5 linked regions of the Macaca mulatta genome follow. The protein of the gene in region 5 interacts with the protein of the main gene of each other region in a biochemical or structural test. Links are inferred from orthologs where the notes say so. Each region holds a gene or a part of one and is shown on either strand. Other genes may lie near its edges.

Region 1 (4,814 bases), on a different chromosome or scaffold from region 5:
ACCCAGTGAAATCACGTCTCTACAAAAAAAATTTTAAAATTAGCTGGACGTGGTGGCACGAGCGTGTAGTCCCAGCTACTTGGGAGGCTGAGGCAGGAGGATAACATGAGCCTGGGAGGTCGAAGCTGCAGTGAGCCATGATCACGCCACTGTACTCCAGCCTGGGCAATAGAGCGAGACCCCCATCTCAAAAACAAAATAAAATGGGATTTCAGCTTGTGTTTGGAAAGGGGAGTAAAAGTTTTTGGCTGAAATGGTATTTTAATTTTTTTTTTTTTTTTTTTTTTTGAGGTGGAGTCTTGCCCTGTCACCCAGGCTGGAGTGCAATGGTATGATCTCGGCTCAATGCAACCTCTGCCTCCCAGCTTCAAACTGTTCTCCTGCCTCAGTCTCCCCAGTCGCTGGGATTAAAGGCGCCTGCCGTCATGCCCAGCTAATTTTTGTATTTTTAGTAGAGACAGGGTTTCACCATATTGGCCAGGCTGGTCTTGAACTCCTGACCTCGTGATCCGCCCTCCTCGGCCTCCCAAAGTGCTGGGATTACAGGTGCGAGCCACCACGCCCGGCCTCTTATTCTTTGTGGTATTTTTATCACCATGTTTTATAAATAATTGGTTATACTTCCATAATCTTATGTCCATAAACCTTTCTGAATTTTTCTAACATGTAAATGACTTTTTTCTAGAAGTTAGGAAGTCATACAGAATAATGTATTCTGGTGGGTGCAGTAGCTCATGCCTATAATTGCAACACTTTGCAAGGCCAGGATCGCTTGAGGCCAGGAATTTGAGACTAGCCTAGGTAACGTAGTGAGACTCCATCTCTACAAAAAATAAAAAATTAGCTGGTGTAGTGACATGCACTTGTAATCTTAGCTACTCAAGAGGCTGAGGCAAGAGGATCACTTGAGCCCAGAAGTTGAAGGCTGCAGTGAGCTACAGCTGTGCCAGCGCACTCCAGCGTGGACAACAGAGAGAGACTCTGTCTCATAAATAAATAAATAACATATTGTATATGTTGTAGGGTAGAACTGTTACCATTAAGTTGAAGAATGTGAATTTTGAAGTAAAAACTCGTGCATCTACAGTTTCATCTGTTGTTTCTACTGCAGAAGAAATATTTGCCATTGCTAAGGAATTGCTAAAAACAGAAATTGATGCTGATTTTCCGCATCCCTTGAGATTAAGACTTATGGGTATGACTTTTTTATTTTTTTGTTTTTCCTTAAATCTGCTAGGTTTTCCTAAATAATTCACTTTGGGAATACAGGGGGCCCCCAACTTAACAATGGTTCAACTTAATGATTTTTCAACTTTGCGATGGTGGGAAAGTTGTATGCTTTCAGTACACTTTTGACTTACAGTGCGGTTACATCCTGATAAACCTGTCATAAATTGAAAGTATTGTAAGTTGACTTATTATGTTTTCAATTTACAGTGGGTTTATCTGGATACAATCCTATTGTAAGTCAGTGAGCACCTGTATTCTCGCCTTCATTTTATTTCTTAAATCTGTTTAGGAAGTTCTTCCTTTGCTGCTGCCATTTATCTTAATTATTAGACCCTGATGTGTGAAGCCATGATCATTAGTTTAATTCCAGTAAGAGCCAATTAAAGTTGTTCTTTTCCTCATAACTTAATGAAATTCTTGTGGCCAGGTATCTTTCAAAATTCAAAACTTTTCAGATTTTGGAAAGCAAATTCAGTGCATGTAGAGTATATTATGTTGTAATACTTCTTTGTGGATCTGGGGCAACACCCCCTATTCAAACATATTAATATTTCTATAGCAAAACAAAATATTCAGAGACTGTAAAGACTGATGACTTTAATTTAGTCATCAAATATCACTTGTTGCTTACAATTTTCAGAACTTTTTGGATTTTGGAATTACAGATAAAGGATTGTGACATTGTGAAATCACATCTCCAAGCCATTACATGGTAAAAACTAACAAGCCATGTTTCCAAAGTGAACTGGTTGAAAGTATGTATATGGATCAGCACTCCAAATGCACATTTTACTAGTAAGGAGTGGGTCACTAGCCATACTTTCATTTATGAAAGATATAGCACACACTGAAATCTACTGAATAAAGTGTTAATTCAAAGAGCCAGGCCAGGCGTGGTGTCTCACACCTGTAATCCCAACACTTTGGGAGGTCAAGGCAGGTGGATCGCCTGAGGTCAGGAGTTTGAGACCAGCCTGGCCAACATAGTGAAACCCCATCTCTACTAAAACTACAAAAAATCAGCTGGACACGGTGGTGGGCACCTGTAATCCCAGCTGCTCGAGAGGCAGAGGCAGGAGAATCGCTTGAACCTGGGAAGTGGAGGTTGCAGTGAGCTGAGATCACACCATTGCACTCCAGCCTGGGCAACAAGAGTGAAACTCTACCTCAAAAAAAAAAAAAAAAAAAAAAAAAAAGCCAAGAGCAGGTATCTATAGAAGCTTAATTCATAATTGCCAAAACTTTGAAACAAGCAAAATGTCCTTCGGTACATGAATGAATAAATAAACTGTGGTACATACAGACAGTGGAATAATATTCAGCACAGAAAAGAAGTGAATTATCAATTCATGAAAAGACATGAATGAAACTTAACTGCATAATGTTAAGTAAAAGAAGCCAATCTGGGCCGGGCGCGGTGGCTCAAGCCTGTAATCCCAGCACTTTGGGAGGCCGAGGCGGGTGGATCACGAGGTCAGGAGATCGAGACTATCCTGGCTAACATGGTGAAACCCCGTCTCTACTAAAAATACAAAAAACTAGCCGGGCGTGGTGGCGGGCGCCTGTAGTCTCAGCTACTTGGGAGGCTGAGGAGGGAGAATGGCGTGAACCCGGGAGACGGAGCTTGCAGTGAGCCAAGATCACGCCACTGCACTCCAGCCTGGGAGACACAGCGAGACTCCGTCTCAAAAAAAAAAAAAAAAAAGAAGCCAATCTGAAAAAACTAAATACTGTATGATTCCAACCATATGAGATTCTGGAAAAGGCAAATATGAGTACCATAAAAAATAATTGATTGTCAGGAGTTAAGAGGAGAAGAAGAGATGAATAGGCAAAAACACAGGAATTTTAGGGCAATGAAATGATTCTGTATGATTCTATAATGACACGTCATTATAAATTTGTCCAGGCACACAGAATGTATTCCAAGGGTGAACCCTATGTAAGCTATGGACTTTGAGTGACAATGTTGTGGCAATGTAGGTTTATAGATTGTAACAAATGTACCACTCTGGTGCCACATGTTGATAGTTGGGGTGGAGGGGTATGCTTGTGTAGGGGAAGGGAATCTATGGGAACTCATTGTACCTTCTGCTCAATTTTGCTGTGAACCTAAAATTTCTCTAAAAAATAAAGTTTATTAGAAAAAAAAGAGCTAAAGAGTCTGTATAGTTGACTCCGGTTAGTTACTGGTATTAATGTAATGGTATGTGTCATATATGAATTAAAATCCTACATCATTATGCTAACTCCAAATAGATAGTTAATATTTAATGATATTCTTTTATAAAGGAAGGTAAATTTGTACTTATAATAACAGCTTTGAAATGTGACTTATTTTTTCTCTCTAGCCAACCTTTTGCATATGTCATAGCACTAGACAAAATGTTTTTATGCATTATGAGTGAATTGGCTTTGTTCAATATGAAATTGATTGTGATTGGTTTAATTTAGGTGTTCGGATATCTAGTTTTCCCAATGAAGAAGACAGGAAACACCAACAAAGGAGCATTATTGGCTTTTTACAGGCGGGAAACCAAGCCCTGTCAGCCACTGGGTGTATACTAGAGAAAACAGACAAAGATCAGTTTGTAAAACCTCTAGAAATGTCTCATAAGAAGAGTTTCTTTGATAAAAAACGATCAGAAAGGAAATGGAGTCACCAAGATACATTTAAATGTGAAACTGTGAATAAACAAAGTTTCCAGACATCACAACCATTCCAAGTTTTAAAGAAGAAGATGAGTGAGAATTTGGAAATACCAGAGAATTCAGATAACTGTCAGATATTTACCTGTCCTGTTTGCTTTAGGGCACAAGGGTGCATCAGTCTGGAAGCCTTTAATAAACATGTAGATGCATGTCTTGATGGATCTTCAATCAGTGAAAACTCTAAAGTGTTCTCGTGTTCACATGTTTCTGCTACCAGAGTTAACAAGAAAGAAAATGTTCCTGCTTCTTCACTTTGTGAGAAGCAAGATTATGAAGCCCATCCAAAAATTAAAGAAGTGTCTTCAGTAGATTGTGTAGCTTTAGTAGATACTATAGATAACTCATCTAAAGCAGAAAGCATAGATGCTTTAAGTAATAAGCATATCAAGGGAGAATGTTCTAATCTCCCAGGCAAGTCTTTTAATATTGAACACTGTCATCAGAATTCTTCTTGCACTGTTTCGTTGGAAAACGAAGATGTTGGATTATTAAGCAGACAAGAATCCTGCCAGCCTTACTTATGTGAAGTGATAACAGGCCAAGCTCTAGTTTGTCCTGTTTGTAATGTAGAACAAAAGACTTCAGATCTAACCCTGTTCAATGTGCATGTGGATGTTTGCTTAAATAAAAGTTTTATCCAAGAATTAAGAAATGACAAAGTTAACCCAGTTAATCAACCCAAAGAAAGCTCCAGAAGTACTGGTGAGTGTGTAGTCGTTTTAAACTGCATGATTTTCTAGGAATATGTTTTATTAAAATTAATGAGATTGTTAAATCTGAAACATATACTATTAAATGGGTAGTTTGTGTATGCCACCATTTAGGGAAATGTTGGTTACCTTGCCATAGGTTAGAATTAACTCAAGCCTATA
Region 2 (4,747 bases), on a different chromosome or scaffold from region 5:
GTCAGGAGATCGAGACCACGGTGAAACCCCGTCTCTACTAAAAATACAAAAAAATTAGCCGGGCGCAGTTGTGGGCGCCTATAGTCCCAGCTACTCGGGAGGCTGAGGCAGGAGAATGGCGTGAACCCGGGAGGCGGAGCTTGCAGTGAGCCGAGATCGCGCCACTGCGCTCCAGCCTGGGCGACAGAGCCAGACTCCGTCTCAAAAAAAAAAAAAAAAAAAAAAAAAAAGATCGAGTTTAAAGTTAGGCTTCAATTTTCTTTTTCCTTTTCCTTTTTTTTTTGAGACAAAGTCTCGCACTTTTGCCCAGGTTGGAGTGTAGTGGCTCTATCTCGGCTCACTGCAAGCTCTGCCTCCAGGGTTCATGCCATTCTCCTACGTCAGCCTCTGGAGTAGCTGGGACTGTAGGTGCTCGCTACCACACCCGGCTAATTTTTGTATTTTTGGTAGAGACGGGGTTTCACCGTGTTAGCCAGGGTGGTCTCGATCTCCTGACCTTGTGATCCACTCGCCTCGGCCTCCCAAAGTGCTGGGATTACAGGCGTGAGCCACCGCACCCAGCAGGATTTTCTTAATGTTGGTTGCTTTTAAGTTAAGATTTGTAGTTGTCCAAGAAATAAGATTTGGGTTTGGTTTAGAGTTGGGTTAGCTATTAAGTTCATGTAAAAGCTAGATTAGAGAGACATTGGGCTGCATTTCGGGTAGATGTGTCATTTGTTCAATGGGCATTAGGATTAGGAGCTGCTTGTAATAGGCAAGGTTTGCTCACTTTGGTCAGGGATTCTGAAAGAGTGGGATCCCATGGAGTCTGGCCCAGTTTGATTGAAATCAGCCTCCAGCTTCATTCCAGGCCACAAGGCTATGAGGCCGGTATGAGATGGATGGACAGGCCTCTTTGTCTGCCCATCACCAGGCCTTGGTGCTAGTGATGACACCGTCACTCCGCCATGGTATCCAGGCATGGAGAATGCCTCAGTCAGTCCCCAGCCCATTGGAACAAAAGAGGCTTCCCACCTGGCCTCCTGTGCCCCCATTTAAGGGCTCGAGCCATAGAAGTTTTGATGGGATTACTCACATGGACCTCCTCCTTCCATTCTCTTGGGAGGCTCAAGAAGGGAGTAAGGGGATTAGCAGAGCCCTCCTGTCAGGAGACTTGAGGTGTCCAGGGCCCCAGAATTCTCCATGTCCTGGGGTGGAGGCGGGAGGCCATCTGCATATGAAAGAACCTCAGTGTCTCAGGGGTGGAGGCTAATGGGTTTGTTTTTCCTCAGAGGGACAATCCTTCAGCTGACAGTTGCCATCTCAGCTCCCTCCCCACCAAGAAAGGATGTGGCTCTTGGCTCAGAACTGCCCCCTCTTTGCTTTCTTTCCTCTCCTTTCCCACAGGTGCAGCTGTATTTCTGTACTCCACTTTCTCCCGGGCCTGGGCCTGGCGCATGCTGCCAGCCACCTGCTCAGGCCTCAAGCCCCAGCTCACATATTCCAAACCTTTAGCTCCAAATCAGTAGATATCTGGGGCTACCTAGACCTGACTGAGGGCTTTCAGCAACTGGCCCCTTGTCCTAAGTGGAGTTTCACAGACCTGGGCATGTGGGCTGGGGCAGGGGCAGAGAGAGTCTGTGTCTCCCTACTCTTAAAGAGCTCCATGGGGCAAGCTCAGTGCCCACTCTGACAAGCAGAGCTGGCACCTTCTCCCATCTCTTCTCAGGCTTGCCTCTTGCACAGTGAGCTTTTTCTTCTCTCCTGTCCTAGTGAAGGGAAAGAACAGCAGCTCCCCACGGTGGATTCCCGCAGGCTTGCAGCAGGCATTGGGGAATGGGCATAAGCTGAGGGTGTGGGCCCGAGTCCGGGAAGGCCCTTGTGCTGCTGTGGGAGAGGAGCTCCCCACGGCCCCTCACCTGTCACTGCTCTCTCCCAGGTCCAGAAAGCAGCCCAGGCCTTTAACTCCGGGCTGCTATGTGTGGCATGTGGTTCATACCGACGGGGAAAGGCAACCTGTGGTGATGTCGACGTGCTCATCACTCACCCAGATGGCCGGTCCCACCGGGGTATCTTCAGCCGCCTCCTTGACAGCCTTCGGCAGCAAGGTATGAGCTCCATCTCTGGGTGAGCAGGTTGACAGAGGGCAGCACAGGGCTGGGGGCCCCTGAGGGAGAACCTTAGAAGTTCCAGTCCCGAGGCAGGAAGCAGAGGAACAGTGCTTTGCCAGCATCCCATCTCTATCGGGGCTGGAATCCTCTCCAGGGAGAGATGAAGCAGCCCTGCCACACCTATGTGGAGGTGCTCAGTGAACCCTGCAGGCCGAGTATCTCATCTGATCTTTCTGTGACACTATGGGGGAGATGGGAATTACTATCCATGTTTTACAGAAAAGGAGAAGGGCCCAGAGAGGGTAGTGTCACCCAGCTAATACCTGGGCAAGCCCCAGCTTAGAGATCAGGAGAGACCTGAGAGTATGGGATAGCCCAGGCCTGGCTCCCTGCCCTCCCAGTAGTCCCCTCTATTGGGCCAGGGTTCCTCACAGATGACTTGGTGAGCCAAGAGGAGAATGGTCAGCAACAGAAGTACTTGGGGGTGTGCCGGCTCCCAGGGCCAGGGTGGCGACACCGGCGCCTGGACATCATCGTGGTGCCCTACAGCGAGTTTGCCTGTGCCCTGCTCTACTTTACCGGCTCTGCACACTTCAACCGCTCCATGCGAGCCCTGGCCAAGACCAAGGGCATGAGTCTGTCAGAACATGCCCTCAGCACTGCTGTGGTCCGGAACACCCATGGCTGCAAGATGGGGCCTGGCCGAGTGCTGCCCACTCCCACTGAGAAGGATGTCTTCAGGCTCTTAGGCCTCCCCTACCGAGAACCTGCTGAGCGGGACTGGTGACCCATGGCTGGGGGTGCGGAGGAGAGCTGAGTTGGACTGGCTACCCCTCCTGGCCACCCAGTGGAGTACTCCCTCCAGCCTCAGCTGGCCAAACCTTGCTGCTCCAACCACCAGCTTCCTCAGCGAGCTGGGCCCAGGGCTCTGGGCCTGAAGCGAGAGCCAGCATGGCTCCCAGTATCTACCCAGTCCTCTCCCAGACAGGAGCAGGCTGCCTCGAGGAATTTTGCAAGTGGCCCCTTATCCCATTTTAAGCAGGAGCAGGTGGCTGATTTGAAGCCCCAGGCATCCCCCTTCCCTGCTGTGAGAAAGGCTGAGCTGCTGGGTGGGGACAGAAGCTGCCGGGGAGAGGGAAGCAGCTGTGCTGTCAACATCGTCCAAGACCCTCTGGGGTAGGAGAACAGCCATTCCACACGTGTTCCCTCTACCCATGCTGCTTCCTGGGCAGCTGGTGGTGCTGGGAATGGGGTGCCCCAGCCTCTGTGAGGACAGTGTTGGAAGGCCCAGGGGCCCAGTAAAGTGCATCTGACATTGAACCTGCCTGGTGTCTGAACTGCTGCAGCTTCTACCTACCTTCTTCCACCCAGGCAGGGACGACGGAGATGGGAACTGAAAAGAGGAGCCCAGAAAGGCTGTGTTAACTGCCCTCTAGACAGGACTGGCGTGAGTCAGCTCCTAAACTCACAGCAAGGATAGCAGTGGTTGTGACCAGGGAGAATCGTGGAGTCAGGCACCTGGAGCTCCTATCTAGCCATCACCAACTTCTGCAGGCCCTGCCTTAGACCAGGCTATCAGGGACATAAGCAAAAGTGGCAAGACTCAGGAAACCATTAGGAACAACTAAATAGTGACCTGTGTATACAGGGATGGGCGGCCAGGGAAGGCTTCCCGGAGGAGGAGAGAGGCAGACTGGCAGGGAAATTGCCTCTGAGAGGAGTCAGCAGGCTCTGTTGGGGGACAATTAAGGACCAGCTTTAGAGAGGACACTGTGTGCTGGGAGTCAGGAGCAGGCTGGGCTGGTAGAGGACTGGAAGCAGAGCTTGGTTTGATAGAGCAGACGAGAGCAGGTCCCGCTGGGGAGTGCAGGATGGCTTCCTGAGGCTGTTTCGCAGGGCAGGGAGACTTGGTGGGGCAGTGGGGGCATGGAAGGAGATTCAGGCAGCCCAGGTATGAGGAGGAGCGGGCACAGAGTCAGAAGGAGACTGTATTGGAGGAGGAGCGAGGAGCCTGGAGAGGCCCTGTGCTGGGTTTTGGGTGGTGGCGCGTGAGGGCAGCTTTGGCTCCAGAGGGGGAATCCCACCTTGAGTGTGCTGGGTGGGCGACATGCCTGTTGGTAACTTGCAGAGTCGCGGAGCCAGCCTTTGTCTGCCTGGTCTTGATCATGGGATCCTAGCAGCCTGGGAGTAGGCCCCTCAACTCAAGCTCACACCCCTGACGTGTAAGTCAGGGAGTCTTCCCATCACTGATCATATTGGGAAAGGAATCAGAAGCCCACAGGACCTGGAGGGCCCTTTCACAGCTCAGCACCAACCCGAGAGATGGCCAGTCAAAAGCCCAGAAGCCTTCTGGAGGGGCGAGCCTCTCCCCCAAGAACGTTTACTCCCAGAGACACATGGCTGCCAAGAGCCACAGTGGGCCTGGGTAGACAGGAGAGGGACTGGGGAAAGCCTGAGCCCCCGGATGTGAAGGCTACTTTTGGTCCCTCTCTGGACTGGTCCCTCAGTGCCTGCTGCTGTCCCCAGCAAGAGTTGGAGTCAGCAGAAGTCCAAAGACGCGTGTCTGGGTCCAAATGTGGAAGTTGCTTCTCTCCTTTTGCCCCAGCCTGCTCCAGGCCCAAGGAACAGGACCTCCAGGGCCAGGGGTGGAGGGAACC
Region 3 (4,814 bases), on a different chromosome or scaffold from region 5:
TCAGAGAGTGGTCTCAGGCCCTACATGTGTCTGCCAGATGCCCGGGCCATGTGGGTAGGCACCCGACCCTGTTAAACAGCTCCACGATCACACATTCACCAGAAATTCAGAGGGGTGTTAAAAGAGGCCTCATGGGTGAGCTCAGAAATATCTTGTGACTCTCCCAAAGGAGACCAGGTGTGAATTACTCCATCTGGAAGAGGGGCAGCCAGCGCACGGTGTGCTCTGCCCTGGCCCTGACACTGTGAGTTTTGCGCCCCTGTCCTTTCCTCTGGCTCCCCAGCCAGCTGAGACTGGAACCTCAAAAGAGTGCCCGGGCATAGGGGAGCATGAACCCCAAATAAACTTCTGCTTTCTAACCCACAAGGAGTGTGCCGACCCTGAGAACCATAAGGTCCGCCAGAAACTGAAGGCCAAGGAGTGGGATGAGTTCCTGGCTAAGGGGAAGCGCTTTCGCGTCCTGCAGCCCGTCAAGATTGGCTGCGTGTGGGCAGCTGACAGAGACTGCGCAGGCGACGACCTGAAGGTACTGCAGCAGTTCGCAGCCTGCTTCCTGGAGACCGTGCCTGTCCAGGAGGAGCAGACGCCCAAGGCCTCCAAGGCCTCCAAGCGGGAGAACAGAGACCAGCAGAGTGAGTGTGGGTGGGGCTTCAGGCAGGGCCTCCCCTTCTCAGGGGCGTGGCCGGGCCACCCACCTGTTCCTGGGCCCAGCTAATTTCAGGGCTGAGGGCAAGAGTCTCACAGGCTAGTGGGTCCATGGTGCAAATGTTCTTTCCACAAATAACAGAGGCCAGCCCTCTTCCCGCACACATCCGTACATTCGATGATGTCCCCAGCGGCAGGACGAGGCAGGTCCAGGCTTGTTTTATCAACCAGGACTCAGGCGCAGAGTGTGCTGGAGTGGGGGCTACGCTTTCTCAAAAGCCAGGGAGGGGCCGGGCACAGTGGCTCAAGACTGTGATTCCAGCACTTTGGGAGGCCAAGGTGGGAGGATCGCTTGAGCCTAGTGCTTCGACACCAGCCTGGGCAACATGGCAAAACTTCATCTTTGCAGAAAATACAAAATTACCTGGGCATGGTCTCATGCACCTGTGATCCCAGCTGCTCATGAGGCTGAGGTGGGAGGATTGCTTGAGCCTAGGAGTTCCAGACTACAGTGAGCCATGATACTGCCACTGCACTCCAGCCTGGGTGACAGAGCGAGACCCCATCTAAAAAAAAAAAAAAAAACTCAAAAAACTGGGGAGGGACTATGGCACACAAGGAGAGCAGGGCTGCCATTTGGGTAGGAACAGCAGGCATTTGAAGTCAGCCCTGGCAACGCATGTGCCCGGCCAAGGCTCACTTCTGGGCAGGTGCGTGGGTGCTGCCCTGTCTTACGACCGCCCTCATGAGGCCACCTATCCCTGAAGCTGGCCATGCCCGGAGCCTCAGTGGCGAGGAGGAGCTGTGTGTGTTTTGGTTTTTGGCCTGTGGTGATAGGTGGCTCCCCAAACCTCATGCCCATCCATGTTCCCTCCCGCCAGTCCTGGCCCAGCTGCTGCCGCTCCTGCATGGCAACGTGAACGGGAGCAAGGTCATCATCCGGGAGTTCCAGGAGCACTGCCGCCGGGGACTGCTCAGCAAGCACACCGGCAGCCCCCCAAGCCCCTCCGCTACCTGCCTGCACACCACCAGCGAGGACGCTGCCATACCCTCTAAGTCCCGGCTCAAGCGGCTCATTTCCGAGAACTCAGTGTACGAGAAGCGGCCCGACTTCAGGATGTGCTGGTACGTGCACCCGCAGGTGCTACAGAGCTTCCAGCAGGAGCACCTGCCCGTGCCATGCCAGTGGAGCTACGTGACCTCAGTGCCCTCGGCCCCCAGAGAGGACAGTGGCAGCGTCCCCTCCACGGGACCCAGCCAGGGCACTCCCATCTCACTGAAGAGGAAGTCAGCGGGCAGCATGTGCATCACCCAATTCATGAAGAAGCGCAGGCACGACGGCCAGGTGAGGTGGGGCGGGCAGTGGGTGCCCCTGGGGGCAGTTTTCTTTGTTTGTTTTTTGTTGTTTTGTTTTATTTTTGAAATGTAGTCTTGCTCTGTGTCACCCAGGCTGGAGTGCAGTGGTGCGATCTCGGCTCACTGCAACCTCTACCTCCCGGGTTCAAGCGATTCTCCTGCCTCAGCCTCCTGAGTAGCTGGGATTACAGGTGTGCACCACCACACCTGGCTAATTTTTGTATTTTTAGTAGAGACAGGGTTTCACCATGTTGATCAGGCTGGTCTCAAACTCCTGACTTCGTGATCCACCTGCCTTGGCCTCCCAAAGTGCTGGGATTACAGGCGTGAGCCACCTCGCCCGGCGCTTTTGTGTTTTTTTAAAACTACTTTTTTTTTTTTTTGAGACGGAGTCTCGCTCTGTCACCCAGACTGGAGTGCAGTGGCCAGATCTCGGCTCACTGCAAGCTCCGCCTCCCGGGTTTACGCCATTCTCCTGCCTCAGCCTCCCGAGTAGCTGGGACAACAGGCGCCTGCCACCTTTCCTGGCCAGTTTTTTTGTATTTTTTAGAGATGGCGTTTCACCGTGTTAGCCAGGATGGTCTCGATCTCCTGACCTCGTGATCCGCCCATCTCGGCCTCCCAAAGTGCTGGGATTACAGGCTTGAGCCACTGTGCCCAGCCTAAAACTACTCTTAGAGCAGTTTTAGGGTCACAGCAAAATCGATTGGAAGGTACAGAAAGTTCCCATACACCTCCTTCCCCAAAGCCAAGCCAAGCCACGCGTTACCAACATCACCTTCCAGAGCAGTGGACTGGTTACAGTCATTGCACTCAGGCCGGGCACTGTGGCTTAAGCCTGTTATCCCAGCACTTTGGGAGGCCGAGGTGGGAGGATCACTTGAGCCTGGGAGTTGGAGACCAGCCTGGGCAACATGACAAAACTCCATCTCTATAAGAAAAAATTTTAAAATTAGCCAAGCAGGCCGGGCGCGGTGGCTCAAGCCTGTAATCCCAGCACTTTGGGAGGCCGAGGCGGGCGGATCACAAGGTCAGGAGATCGAGACCACAGTGAAACCCTGTCTCTACTAAAAATACAAAAAATTAGCCGGGCGCGGTGGCGGGCGCCTGTAGTCCCAGCTACTCAGGAGGCTGAGGCAGGAGAATGGCGGGAACCCGGGAGGCGGAGCTTGCAGTGAGCCGAGATCGCGCCACTGCACTCCAGCCTGGGCAACAGCGTGAGACTCCGTCTCAAAAAAAAAAAAAAAAAAAAAAAAAAAAAAAAAAAAAAAAAATTAGCCAAGCAGTGGCGGTGGCATGCATCTGTAGTCTCAGCTACTCAGGAGACTAAGGCGGGAGGATTGCTGGAGGCTAGGAGATAGAGGCTGCAGTGAGCTATGATCATGCCACTGCACTGCAACCTGGGCGACAGCGAGACCCTGTCTCTAAAAATAAATACATAAAATCACCACCACCCAGAGTCTACGGTCTCTGTTAGGGTTGGTTCCTGGTGTAGAGGGTTCTGTGATTTGAATGGATGTTGGATGCTGTGCGTCCACCTTTATTGCTCTGAACAAAGAGGCCTCTCCCTGCTGAAAGGCCCCTGTGCTCTGTCCATCCAGTCCCCTGGAAATCGCCAACCTGTCTGTCTCGGTGGATCGGCCTTTTCCAGATTGCCCCGTAGCTGGAATCGCACCGCGTGTGGCTCCTTTCACTTGGCAGTATGCATTGACAGTTCCCCCATGTCTGTTCGTGGCTTGATAGCTCATTTTTTTTTCACACCGAATAATATCCCATGTGGTAGCATTTTTATTTTTGTTCAACGGTTCTTGAATTTTGCATTCAAGCACAGTTATTAAGCACTTACTGTGTGCCAGGCACTCTGATCGGTCTTTCAGACACAGGGATATGCAGAACGCCGCCCAGTGTAAGCCACAGACAGGAGCCTGTAAGGGGAATGAATGGCTGTGTGATTCCAGCCTCATGGGTGCCTCAGAGGCACAAATGCATGGAGCCATGGGGTGTGTGATGGGGGCACTGCCTGATCTTAGGAAAAAACTCCCATGCCCATAGAGCCAGTGGCCCCTGGCACCCACCCCTGGCCATAGATCAGCTTTAGTAACATTCATTGCATACTTTTTGTCCTTATCACACTGTTTGTAACTGAGTTTCTCTCTTTTTTTTTTTTTTGTTTTGTTTTGTTGTGTTTTTTGAGTCGGGAGTCTTACTCTGTTGCCTAGGCTGTAGTGCAGTGGTAAGATCACCACTCACTGCAGCCTTGACCTCCCCAGTCTCAGGCGATTCTCCCACCTCAGCCTCCTGTGTAGCTGAGAGGGACTACAGGTGCATGCCACCACACCCAGCTAATTTTTTGTAGAGACAGGGTTTCACCATGTTGCCCAGGCTGGTCTCCAACTCCTGGGCTTAAGCAATCCCCTTGCCTTGGCCCCGCAAGGCACTGGGATTGTAGGTATGAGCCACTGTGCCTGGCTCCCTGAGTTTCATTTCTAATCTGTACTCTTAACACAGACCTATCTGTCCCTGTGAACCTTAGGCTTTCCTCCGAGGCCACGATCTGATGGAGTTACAGGTTTTCAGAGACTTGGAACAAGGAGCAAGACAGTGGATAACCCCAGGCCCCCACGTGCATCCTCTTCTCTGAGGTTAAAAGTGGTTGTTGGCTGGGCGCGGTGGCTCGCTCCTGTAACCCCAGCACTTTGGGAGGCCGAGGTGGGCAGATCACCTTGAGTCAGGAGTTCGAGACCATTCTGGCCAACATGGTGAAACCCCGTCTCTACTAAAAATACAAAAATTAGCTGGGCATGATGGCAGGC
Region 4 (4,814 bases), on a different chromosome or scaffold from region 5:
TCCAAGGAATGGGAGCCCTTGCCACATTCCTCCCTGTCTCTGTTGCCTGTGGCCAGATGACCTGGTGGGTTTTTCCCTCCAGGAACCTCTCTCCAGGAAATCCCTCACCTTGAGACCCTCTTTCAGCACCTCTTCTTTCTCAGCAGCATCCTTGGAGCTATGCTCATCTCTGCTGTGGGGCCTTTCCTTGGGCACACCCACCTGCTAAACATCCTAGCAGCCTAGCCTGTTACCTTAGCAACGGCAGCAAAGGAAGGCAGAGCTGCACTGGGTACCTACCCATCAGCCTCCAGATTGCAAATGCCGTGGGCTGGGTGTGTTTTTCAGGATTGAGCTTCTACTCCAGAGCCAGCGCCCAGAGGTGGAGGAGATGATCCGAGACATGGGTGTGGGACAGTCAGCGGTGGAACAGCTGGCTGTGTACTGTGTGTCTCTCAAGAAGTGCGTACTGTGGCCCCTCTCAGCAAACACAGGAGATAGGCCATGGGGCTCCCGCCATGTCATTGCTTCCCATCTCTTGTAAAGCAGATAGAGCTAAGGGGCAAACTCTGGAGCCATGCTGCCTTTGAACCCTGATTCCACCTCTCAGCAGCTATGTGGCCTGGTGCCAGTTTCTTGGCTTCTTTGACCTTCAGCTTCCTGAATGGAGATAGTAGTAGACCTGCCTCATAGGATTGTTGAGAGGATTGAGTGTGAATCTTTTTTTTTTTTTTTGAGACGGAGTCTCACTCTGTCGCCCAGGCTGGAGTGCAGTGGCGGGATCTCGGCTCACTGCAAGCTCCCCCTCCCGGGTTCACGCCGTTCTCCTGCCTCAGCCTCCTGAGTAGCTGGGACTACAGTCACCTGCCACTGCGCCCGGATAATTTTTTTATTTTTAGTAGAGATGGGGTTTCACCACGGTCTCAATCTCCTGACCTCGTGATCCGCCCGCCTCGGCCTCCCAAAGTGCTGGGATTACAGGCATGAGCCACCGCGCCTGGCCTGAGTGTGAGTCTTAAGTGCTGTTTCTAAGGGAGTTGACCTAGCTCTCTGAGCTATAAGCCCCATTGTGATTGATATCTAGAGCCTGTTCCCCTTTAGCACTATGATCCTGCCTGGCTTGGATCAAACTCGTATTCTTACTCTGGTGGGTGTAAGGTTGGCAGGAAGGGTGGAGGGTCACTTAGCTGAGAGGCATAGAGGGTCCAAGATGCTTCCTTTAAGACCAGGTGGTAGGCCGGGCGCGGTGGCTCAAGCCTGTAATCCCAGCACTTTGGGAGGCCGAGATGGGCAGATCACGAGGTCAGGAGATCGAGACCATCCTGGCTAACACGGTGAAACCCTGTCTCTACTAAAAAATACAAAAAACTAGCTGGGAGAGGTGGTGGGCGCCTGTAGTCCCAGCTACACGGGAGGCTGAGGCAGGAGAATGGCGTAAACCTGGGAGGCGGAGCTTGCAGTGAGCTGAGATCCGGCCACTGCACTCCAGCCGGGGCGATAGAGCGATACTCCCTCTCAAAAAAAAAAAAAAAAAAAAAAAAAAAAAGGCCAGGTGGTTTAGGGGGCCCCCTAGTGAGACTGGGGCTTTCTGCATGCCCTCTCAAGTCACGAGTGCCTGCAGGACAGGCAGGAGGAAAGAGTCACTTCCTTGCGTTCTCTGCAGGACCCTCCACAGTGCCACCTGGTACTTACTGGGCTCAGGTGTCAAAGTAGGAATGAGAATGAGTTGAGGGGTTGGGCAGTGCTTTGTGTTAGATTAGTGCTGTGGCTCAGTCTGACCTGCAGGTGTTCTTTTCTGGCATCTCTTTCCATGGCCACATTGCAGAGAGTACGAGAATCTAAAAGAGGCACGGAAGGCCTCAGGGGAGCTGGCTGAGAAGCTGAGGAAGGATTTGTTTTCCTCCAGAAGCAAGGTAACTTAGCAGTGAACACGGGTTGAAGGAGAGGCGGCTCTCCTTTTGTCATGCTCACTCTGGTCTCCTGAGCAAGGCCATGGGACCTGATGGCACAGCTGACTCCCTGGGGCAGCTGGATGACTTATAGAGATTTGTTACCAGTCCTTACTGGGCATTGGTCTGAATATGTGACTTGTCCAGTAGGGATAGACAGATCACAGAGGTGTCTGCCAACATGTGGACACTCATGCTCCCCTCTGCTCTTCCCAGCTCCTGGGTACCTCTCAGCTGGCTGGAGAGCACAGGCCCCAAATGTGACAGCGTCAGGGGCCTATTTTTGCACCATGTCTGGAGTAGGAGGGCTCCTGGAACCTCATTCGGTCAGCATAGCTGCTTTTACTTCTGGCATGGTGTAGCCACAGGCTGCAGGATATAGGAAGCAGCCTTTGCTTCTGGGCAGCTCCGGATGTGCATTGCCAGACTGAGGCCTAGCCTCAGAGAGCTGGGATCTCTTCCCATACCCCTAGTCTCTTCTAGACTCTAGGCTACCTTGATCACTCACTGGGGAGCAGCAGGAGGGGGCAGGGAACAAGGCTAACACTTGGCTTGTCCTTCACTCCCTACACTTTCTTATAGTTGCAGACAGTCTACTCTGAATTGGATCAGGCCAAGTTAGAACTGAAGTCAGCCCAGAAGGACTTACAGAGTGCTGACAAGGAAATCATGGTGAGGAACATCCCTGGCTTGACAGGAATGAGGGGTGGTTTGTGTGCCCTCCCAAAGCAGGGCTGGGCTATCTCTGCCCAGGACCCTTGCACCAGTCAGTGGTGGTTCTGGGCCCCTGCATCTTCCTGGGTGAGGGTGTGCCCCTTGGCCCTGGTCCGAACTGGAACCTGGGCCTCCTCAACAGAGGGCAGATAGCACCATGAGTCTTCCCTCATAGTCTGTCCTGTACTTACATCCCTGAGGTCCCTCATCAGAGGAGGGACTGTAGCTGGGGCTTGGCCTCCTGAGCCTAATAATGGGGTATCAGGCCTTGCTCTGTTCCCAGTGGGCCGGCCTTTCATGCATGCTAGTCATGTCCTCTGCATTATCTCTGGACTTGATGCCTCAGCCTTTCTCTCACACACTTTTTTTTCCCTCCCCAAGAGCCTGAAAAAGAAGCTAATGATGCTGCAGGAAACTTTGAACCTGCCACCAGTGGCCAATGAGACTGTCGACCGCCTGGTTTTAGAGAGGTTTGTTGAGCCTTGGGCGGTACAGGGGTCACAAGGTGGGAGAGCCTTCTGGTAACAGTCTTTACTCCTTCTGGCTTTGGTGGGGTGGGTGACCTTTGTGGACCTGATGTCTGCAGACAACCTGCCCTGGAAGCCAGCCAAGATTTAGCTGGCAGGCAGCTTTGAAGCAAATTAGTCTCTGACACGGAGAGGCCAGAGAAGGCCAGAGGACCTAGAAGTGGTCTGAGAATAGGGCAGGAGCACTGACTGTCTTGGGGCATCCTGTTTATGGAGTAGCTCCCCACATGTATCTGTCCACCCTAGATTTTGAAACAAATATGAAACCACTCTAAAATAATTCCCCTACTGCCAGGAGTGCATGCTTTAAAGCTGCCAGCAGAGGGAGCCAAGAGGCAGAAGGATTGGTGTCGCCGCAAGCATGGGCATCTGTTTCTGCTCCTGAGAGTTTCACAGAAACAGACTAGCTGAGAGCATCCTCAAGGCTACTTCCTGCCTGCCGAAAGTCCCCAGCAAGGACCCAGATAGAAGGCACACAACTCCTGTCAGTGGCCCCAGTTTTTTTTTTTTTTTTTAATGGAGTCTCACTCTGTTGCCAGGTTGGAGTGCAGTGGCATGATCTTGGCTTACTGCAATCTCTGCCTCCTGGATTCAAGCGATTCCCCTGACTCAGTCTCCCAAATAGCTGGTATTACAGGTGCACACCACCATGCCCGGCTAATTTTTTGTATTTTAGTAGAGACAGGGTTTCACCATGTTGGCCAGGATGGTCTCGATCTCCTGACCTCCTGATCCACCTGCCTCGGCCTCCCAAAGTGCTGGGATTACAGGTGTGAGCCACCATGCCTAGTTGCTTTTGTTTACTTTCTTTACCTCTTCAGTGTGCTGGAAGGCCTGGACTCCTACAGCAGGTCCTTGATGAGTGCCCACTGCATGGCAGGCCTTCTCTGTTCTCTTGGAGCTTATGTTCCAGTGGGATAGATGAGCTGGGAGTTTCGATGGCTAAGCCCACAGCCCACCAGCTATATACTACATTATAGAATCTGGTCTGTAGCTCCCAGATGGGGACAGGCCCACCTCATTCTGAGTAAGCTTCATGCCAGGGCCTGTAGCCCATTTGGTACAGGGAGGACAACAATGGTCTCCCTTGGCTTTCAGGCCAGCAGGACACTAAATTGACAAACCTTCGTAAGCTGGGCTGGGCTTGTCATCAAGCCACATGAGGATGACTTCATTCATTTTTGTCTCCAGTATTTTTCTGGGCATAACTATCGAAGTGGTTGGCTGAGTGCATTGACTCATACCTGTAATCTCAGCGCTTTGGGAGGCCAAGGTGGGAGGATTGCTTGAGTCCAGGAGTTCAAGACCAGCCTGGGCAACATAATGAGACCCTGTATCAAAAAACTTAAAACTGGCCGGGTGCGGTGGCTCAAGCCTGTAATCCCAGCACTTTGGGAGGCCGAGGCGGGTGGATCACGAGGTCAGGAGATTGAGACTATCCTGGCTAACATGGTGAAACCCCGTCTCTACTAAAAATACAAAAAACTAGCCGGGCGTGGTGGCGGGCGCCTGTAGTCTCAGCTACTTGGGAGGCTGAGGCGGGAGAATGGCGTGAACCCGGGAGGCGGAGCTTGCAGTGAGCCGAGATCACGCCACTGCACTCCAGCCTGGGAGACACAGCGAGACTCCGTCTCAAAAAAAACAA
Region 5 (5,461 bases):
TTATGAGATAAGGACCTTCGTCCTTGATTTACCAAGTTTTAATTTATGCTCAGGTTACCGAGTTTTTTTTTTGTTTTTTTTTTTAAGATGGAGTCTTGCTCTGTCACCCAGGCTGGAGGGGAGTGGCATGATCTGGGCTCACTGCAACCTCCACTTCCTCAGTTCAAGTCATTCTCCTGTCTCAGCCTTCCGAGTAGCTGGGGTTACAGGTGTGCACCACCATGCCCGGCTAATTTTTTCTATTTTGGTTAAGCAAGGGCTCTCTAAGTACTCTCAAAGTTGCACGGAGTCTGCTTTCTAGCCTTAGTGAGAAGTCTTCCTGTTTAACCTTTGATTCCTACAGCCTGTGACTTTGGCTAAATTGTCACTTAAGATTGCTCAGCCTGCTTCTCCACCTTTAAAATGGGCTACCAATTGGACCCACAACATGTACGCTAATATAAGGATTACATAAGCGCTCCTAACAGGTAGACTTTTACTCCTAACCATACCCTTCTATAGAGTTGCTGTTCTATGCTTATTTGGTAAGAGTAAATATCTCCAGAAAGCTAAAGGTTAGATGCCTAGCTTCCCAATCCTACCCTTAAGAGCCTGTGTGGGCTTGATCCATAAACCATTGTTCTGTGGTATGTACACGTGCTGAATTTGTATTCCCTTCTTGCAAATATAATTCTAAATTGGATGACACAAATCAGTTGCAGATTTCAACAGTATCTCAATTTTCAGAAATTACTTGGGATCCAATTCTGTCTACTTTTAATTTTAGCAATTAACCTAATAAGCAGTATTACAATTCTCTTCAAACTTTTTTTTTTACTTAAAAACTACTTACAGCTTCCTCCTCTTTATCGACATTACTTGTCTGTGACAATTTAATGTTTCCATTTCCAAGTTCTCCACTTGCAGAAAATTTCACGCCGTCTTTTGCACAGGAAATTACAACAGCATCTCCAATATGGCTGAGATCTCGGCATATACGTGCAAATTCACCAGAAGGCATCTTTACTACACAGCTGTACTCTTGTTCCTATTAAGAACAAAAATTTTCCAAAAGTTACTTGTTAGAAATTTAATGATTTGGCACCCTCACTTTCTTAAAAGGCAACATCTAAACAACTCAGAATCAAGATTTTCTGATTACTGACTCGTGTAATTTCTTAACAAACTCCACTCAAAAAAAATAAATGGCTATTAAATGCACTGCCCAGGGAACAAGCGCCTCCTCCTCCTCATCCTCCAGGGATAAAGTAAGAGAACATTAGAGTATGCCACAGAAATGATGACGGCGCAAGCAGGTCTAACTATTTTCTAAAAGAAAACGAGAGAATATGATATTAGGCATTTTCAACATTCCAACATTTCTTCTCTCCTTTGGTGTTTATAAACCTAACCTGGATACATTTCTTCTAAGATAGCTTTCAAACCCACTTAACAAAAATCAAGCATCGGGCCGGGCGCGGTGGCTCAAGCCTGTAATCCCAGCACTTTGGAAGGCCGAGACAGGCGGATCACAAGGTCAGGAGATCGAGACCATCCTGGCTAACCTGGTGAAACCCCGTCTCTACTAAAAAATACAAAAAAAAAAAAAAAAAAAAAAAAAAAAAAACTAGCCGGGCGAGGTGGTGGGCGCCTGTAGTCCCAGCTACTCGGGAAGCTGAGGCAGGAGAATGGCGTAAATCTGGGTGGCAGAGCTTGCAGTGAGCTGAGATCCGGCCACAGCACTCCAGCCTGGGCGACAGAGCGAGACTCCGCCTCAAAAACAAAACAAAACAAAACAAAACCAACCATCCTAGAAGGAAGCAAATTTTAAAAGAGGTTCATGGAAATTAATGCAAATAGACAACTGGCAGTAAACAATAAATTTAACCAGTGAGTTTTAGACTTGTGGTAAACAACTATCCAAATACTAAAATCTCTTTAAAACATGCACCAGTAGATATGTTTCTAGAAAAAGTTCTGTTATGAAGTAGGCTTAAATTATATTAACTTATCTTGACGGAGGAGGATCATTGAGGCCAGGAGTTCCAGACCAGCCTGGGCAAGACTGCCCCCACACCCACACACAAAAATAAAAAAATTAGCCAGGCGTGGTGGGACAGATCTGTAGTCCTTCCTAGCCACTTAGGAGACTAAGTGGATTGCTTGAGCCCAGGAGTCCCAGGTTACAGTGAGCTATATGGCACCACTGCACTCCAGCCTGGGGAAAAGAGGAAGACCCTGTCTGTAAAAATAAACAACATTCTATGATATAACTATCATGCCTGTGTACAGCAGTCGCTACAATCAGAAACTGATACTCACTGGAATTCCAAGTTGTTCAACATCCAAATCCATCAACTTCATTTCATAGTCTGAAACTTTCTCCTGGTCTACCAAAAAAAAGCAAATGCTGTTGAGAAACACTGGCACAGAGTTTTGATCTTCTGTAGCTTCATAACTCAGTAAAAAGGTACGACTTACTGGGTGCTTCAAATACTAGCGCCAAGGTATCCGCATTATCTTCAGCCCTTAGTGTAATGATATCTTCATTGCCGGCGCATTTTAGTATTTTGGACATACTAGAAGACAGGAGACACATGGTTTAAAATCAACACCATCTACTGAAGGTCTGTATTTCTAATGCAGTTAGAAGGGGTTACCACTCTCACCCATAGGCCGTCTCAGAACTGGTGGAGGGTAATTGCACTGCTGGAGGATGCGAATATTAATGCAGACATTTTGGGATGCATCTGGCAGTATTTATACTAAAATACCACCAGCAGTTTCCCTTCTGGATAGAAACAATCTCCTGCCACTAAGTAGGATGACAGGCTGACACTTTTCTCGCAAGGGCACATTATAAAGCATTTAAAGTCAATCGCGACTGAGCCGGGAGGATCGCCTGAGCCCAGAAGTTGGAGACCAGCCCGGGCCAACACATCGAGACCGTCTCGGAAACAAAAAAGCCACAACTAAAGCGTCCATTCAAGGCCAACAGGATTTAGTGAGCAAAAGCTCTGGAGCAGTGTTCCTGGCACTGCAGAAAAACCAGTCATTTTCCCGCCACCACCCGCTTTGTGACTTTGGCGCGAAAAAGCAGGTTCGCGCAGCAGCCAGCGCGGGCTTTTCCGAACCGCGCGCTCAGCTGGGCCCCACCCCCCTGCATGGCAGGCCAATGAGAAGGTGCGGATGGTCCACGCCAGCCAATGAGGGCTCGGCTCGGAAGCGATCCCGCCAAACCCCGGAGGTGGGGGTGGGCCGGGGCCGGCTTCTCGACGCCGCGAGGCTCACCTGGTGAGGTTCACGCCCATAGCCAGGTTGCGGTCGCAGCGGTAGGTGTCGAAGCCCTCAGACCGCAGGGTGAGCTGCACCAAGGAGACGTGGGACGAGTCCATGCTCTGCAGATTTACGCCGCTGGAGCTAATATCCCAGCAGGCCTCGTTGATGAGGTCCTTGAGGGCCTCCAACACCTTCTTCAGGATGGAGCCCTGGACCAGGCGCGCCTCGAACATGGTGGCGGAGTGGCAGCAACGCGGCTACAGGCAGGCGGGAAGGAGGAAAGTCTAGCCGGTTTCCGCTTCAGGAGCCTCAGAGCGAGCGGGCGAACGTCGTGACGAGAAGCTGAGACCTAGAAACAGAACTACCAGTCTGCTACGCCTGCAACCGTTTAATGCCGCCGCGTCCGCCAGCGCGCGCTCTTACCCTGCGCCGCGTTGCGACGTCACCACGCTGCCCGGCCCACGGCCTGGGCGGGTTAGAATTTAGGGCCAATCGTGCCGATGCTCCCCGCGAGGCCCGCCCCCTAGGACATACATTGGAGGAAGCGGGTGCAGGGCGGGGCAGCGTCCCGCAGGTCTCCCCGCCTCTTCGCCTGACTCCTGAACCTGACCACTGAACAAGTCCGGGCATATGTGGGGATCCGGCCCAGGCCCCGGTTCGTCAAGCCCCAGCTTTATGGTGCCTCCTCAGCCTCCAGCTCCGTGGGTAGAAAGTTTCCAGCCACGAAAGTGAAAGTGAAAAGCAAATCCAGCCTACCGGGAGGAAAAGCCTCCTTGTAGCCTGAAGAGTACAGCTGCTGCAAATATGCACTTTATTTTTCAATTACAAAAGTGATGCGCTCCTAAGTGTCACACCATAAAGAGTTATGTTAAACTTAGCTCCCTCTCACCTCTTAACATTCCACTGCCAGCTCTTATAATCACTCAATCGTTCCTTGTATAAAGCTTTTAAAGCTTTTTTGAAAGTTCGAATACACTTTTTTTTTTCAAAATGCACTCATTCCGTAAACACTTCGAAAAAGTACTTAATAAAGTACATTTAATTTTATGCCACGTACATCTTTTTTATATCAGTACCTCTTTAAAAGATAGCATCACATGTATGTAACTTATCAATCTCCTGTTAATTACAAACACCTTTGAGCACTTAGGCAATTTTGGTGCTATCAACTCCTTGAAGTAATACAGCTGAGTCAAAGAGCGTACACATTTAATTTTTTTTCTTTTCTTTCTTTCTTTTTTTTTGAGATGGAGTCCTGCTCTGTCATTCAGGCTGGAGTGCAGTGGCGCGATCTCGGCTCACTGCAACCTCCGCCTCCCAGGTTCAAATGATTCTCCTGCCTCAGCCTCCCGAGTAGCTGGGATTACAGGCGCCTACCACCGCGCCCGACTAATTTTTTTTTTTTTTTTTTTTAGTAGAGACGGGGTTTCACCATGTTGGCCAGGCTGGTCTCGAACTCCCGACCTCAGGTGATCACCCGCCTCAGCCTCCCAAAGTGCTGGGATTACAGGCATGTGCCACCATGCCCGGCTAAATTTTTGATAAATGTTACTAAATCTCTAAAAGTTTGCAATTTACATTCTAGCCAAGACTGTGTATGAACATGCTCATTTATCTTTATTTTCCTAACTACAGATATTAGCAATCTCATTTTTTAATCATTGCTCATCTGTGTCAAAAATTCAATTTTTTTTTTTTTTTGAGACAGAGTCTTGCTCTGTTGCCCCGGCTGGACTGCAGTGGCACTATCTCGGCTCACTGAAACCTCCGCCTCCCAGGTTCAAGCAATTCTCCTGTCTCAGCCTCCCAAGTAGCTGGGATTACAGGTGCCTACCACTACACCCGGCTAATTTTTGCATTTTTAGTAGAGACGGGGGTTTCACCATGTTGGCCAAGCTGGTCTCGAACACCTGACCTCAGGTGATCCACCCGCTTTGGCCTCCCAAAGTGCTGGGATTACAGGCGTGAGCCACTGCACCCAGCCAGAAAATTTCAATTGTTACAGGATGGACAGGGTTTGTTGTTTCTCTCCTGCTTTGTTTACACCATTTCTCTTTAGTTACTTTTAATATCTTGGTCAGTGGAATTCTTTAGTTTTTCTACCATGTATCTAGGTATGGATTTAGTTTTATTTATCTTGTTGAAGGAACTGAAGATTCATTTCAAGTCTTACATATTCTCAATCATTATGGCTTCAAGTATC

Evidence for each region.
Region 1: the proteins of PCNA (region 5) and POLK form a complex in vitro, tested with the Homo sapiens proteins (2 studies listed by BioGRID, with this or other methods). The link is inferred for Macaca mulatta from reciprocal best matches to the Homo sapiens genes PCNA and POLK.
Region 2: the proteins of PCNA (region 5) and POLL form a complex in vitro, tested with the Homo sapiens proteins (3 studies listed by BioGRID). The link is inferred for Macaca mulatta from reciprocal best matches to the Homo sapiens genes PCNA and POLL.
Region 3: the proteins of PCNA (region 5) and CHAF1A form a complex in vitro, tested with the Homo sapiens proteins (4 studies listed by BioGRID and IntAct). The link is inferred for Macaca mulatta from reciprocal best matches to the Homo sapiens genes PCNA and CHAF1A.
Region 4: the proteins of PCNA (region 5) and TRAIP form a complex in vitro, tested with the Homo sapiens proteins (2 studies listed by BioGRID, with this or other methods). The link is inferred for Macaca mulatta from reciprocal best matches to the Homo sapiens genes PCNA and TRAIP.

The regions. Positions count from the first base shown.
Region 1 is NC_133411.1:81,998,204-82,003,017, forward strand, and holds part of POLK (DNA polymerase kappa), read left to right. Parts: intron 1-1,023; coding exon 1,024-1,195; intron 1,196-3,684; coding exon 3,685-4,644; exon of another isoform or gene 4,645-4,814. UniProt on the Homo sapiens protein: DNA polymerase specifically involved in DNA repair. Plays an important role in translesion synthesis, where the normal high-fidelity DNA polymerases cannot proceed and DNA synthesis stalls.
Region 2 is NC_133414.1:113,652,716-113,657,462, reverse strand, and holds the end of POLL (DNA polymerase lambda), read left to right. Parts: intron 1-1,918; coding exon 1,919-2,087; intron 2,088-2,512; coding exon 2,513-2,877; 3' UTR 2,878-3,394; downstream 3,395-4,747.
Region 3 is NC_133424.1:5,265,310-5,270,123, forward strand, and holds part of CHAF1A (chromatin assembly factor 1 subunit A), read left to right. Parts: intron 1-367; coding exon 368-632; intron 633-1,526; coding exon 1,527-1,990; intron 1,991-4,814. UniProt on the Homo sapiens protein: Acts as a component of the histone chaperone complex chromatin assembly factor 1 (CAF-1), which assembles histone octamers onto DNA during replication and repair.
Region 4 is NC_133407.1:113,315,315-113,320,128, reverse strand, and holds part of TRAIP (E3 ubiquitin-protein ligase TRAIP), read left to right. Parts: intron 1-327; coding exon 328-441; intron 442-1,804; coding exon 1,805-1,892; intron 1,893-2,510; coding exon 2,511-2,600; intron 2,601-3,023; coding exon 3,024-3,112; intron 3,113-4,814. UniProt on the Homo sapiens protein: E3 ubiquitin ligase required to protect genome stability in response to replication stress.
Region 5 is NC_133415.1:78,833,049-78,838,509, reverse strand, and holds the start of PCNA (proliferating cell nuclear antigen), read right to left. Parts: upstream 3,684-5,461; 5' UTR 3,492-3,683; coding exon 3,271-3,491; intron 2,559-3,270; coding exon 2,461-2,558; intron 2,370-2,460; coding exon 2,302-2,369; intron 1,028-2,301; coding exon 833-1,027; intron 1-832. UniProt on the Homo sapiens protein: Auxiliary protein of DNA polymerase delta and epsilon, is involved in the control of eukaryotic DNA replication by increasing the polymerase's processibility during elongation of the leading strand.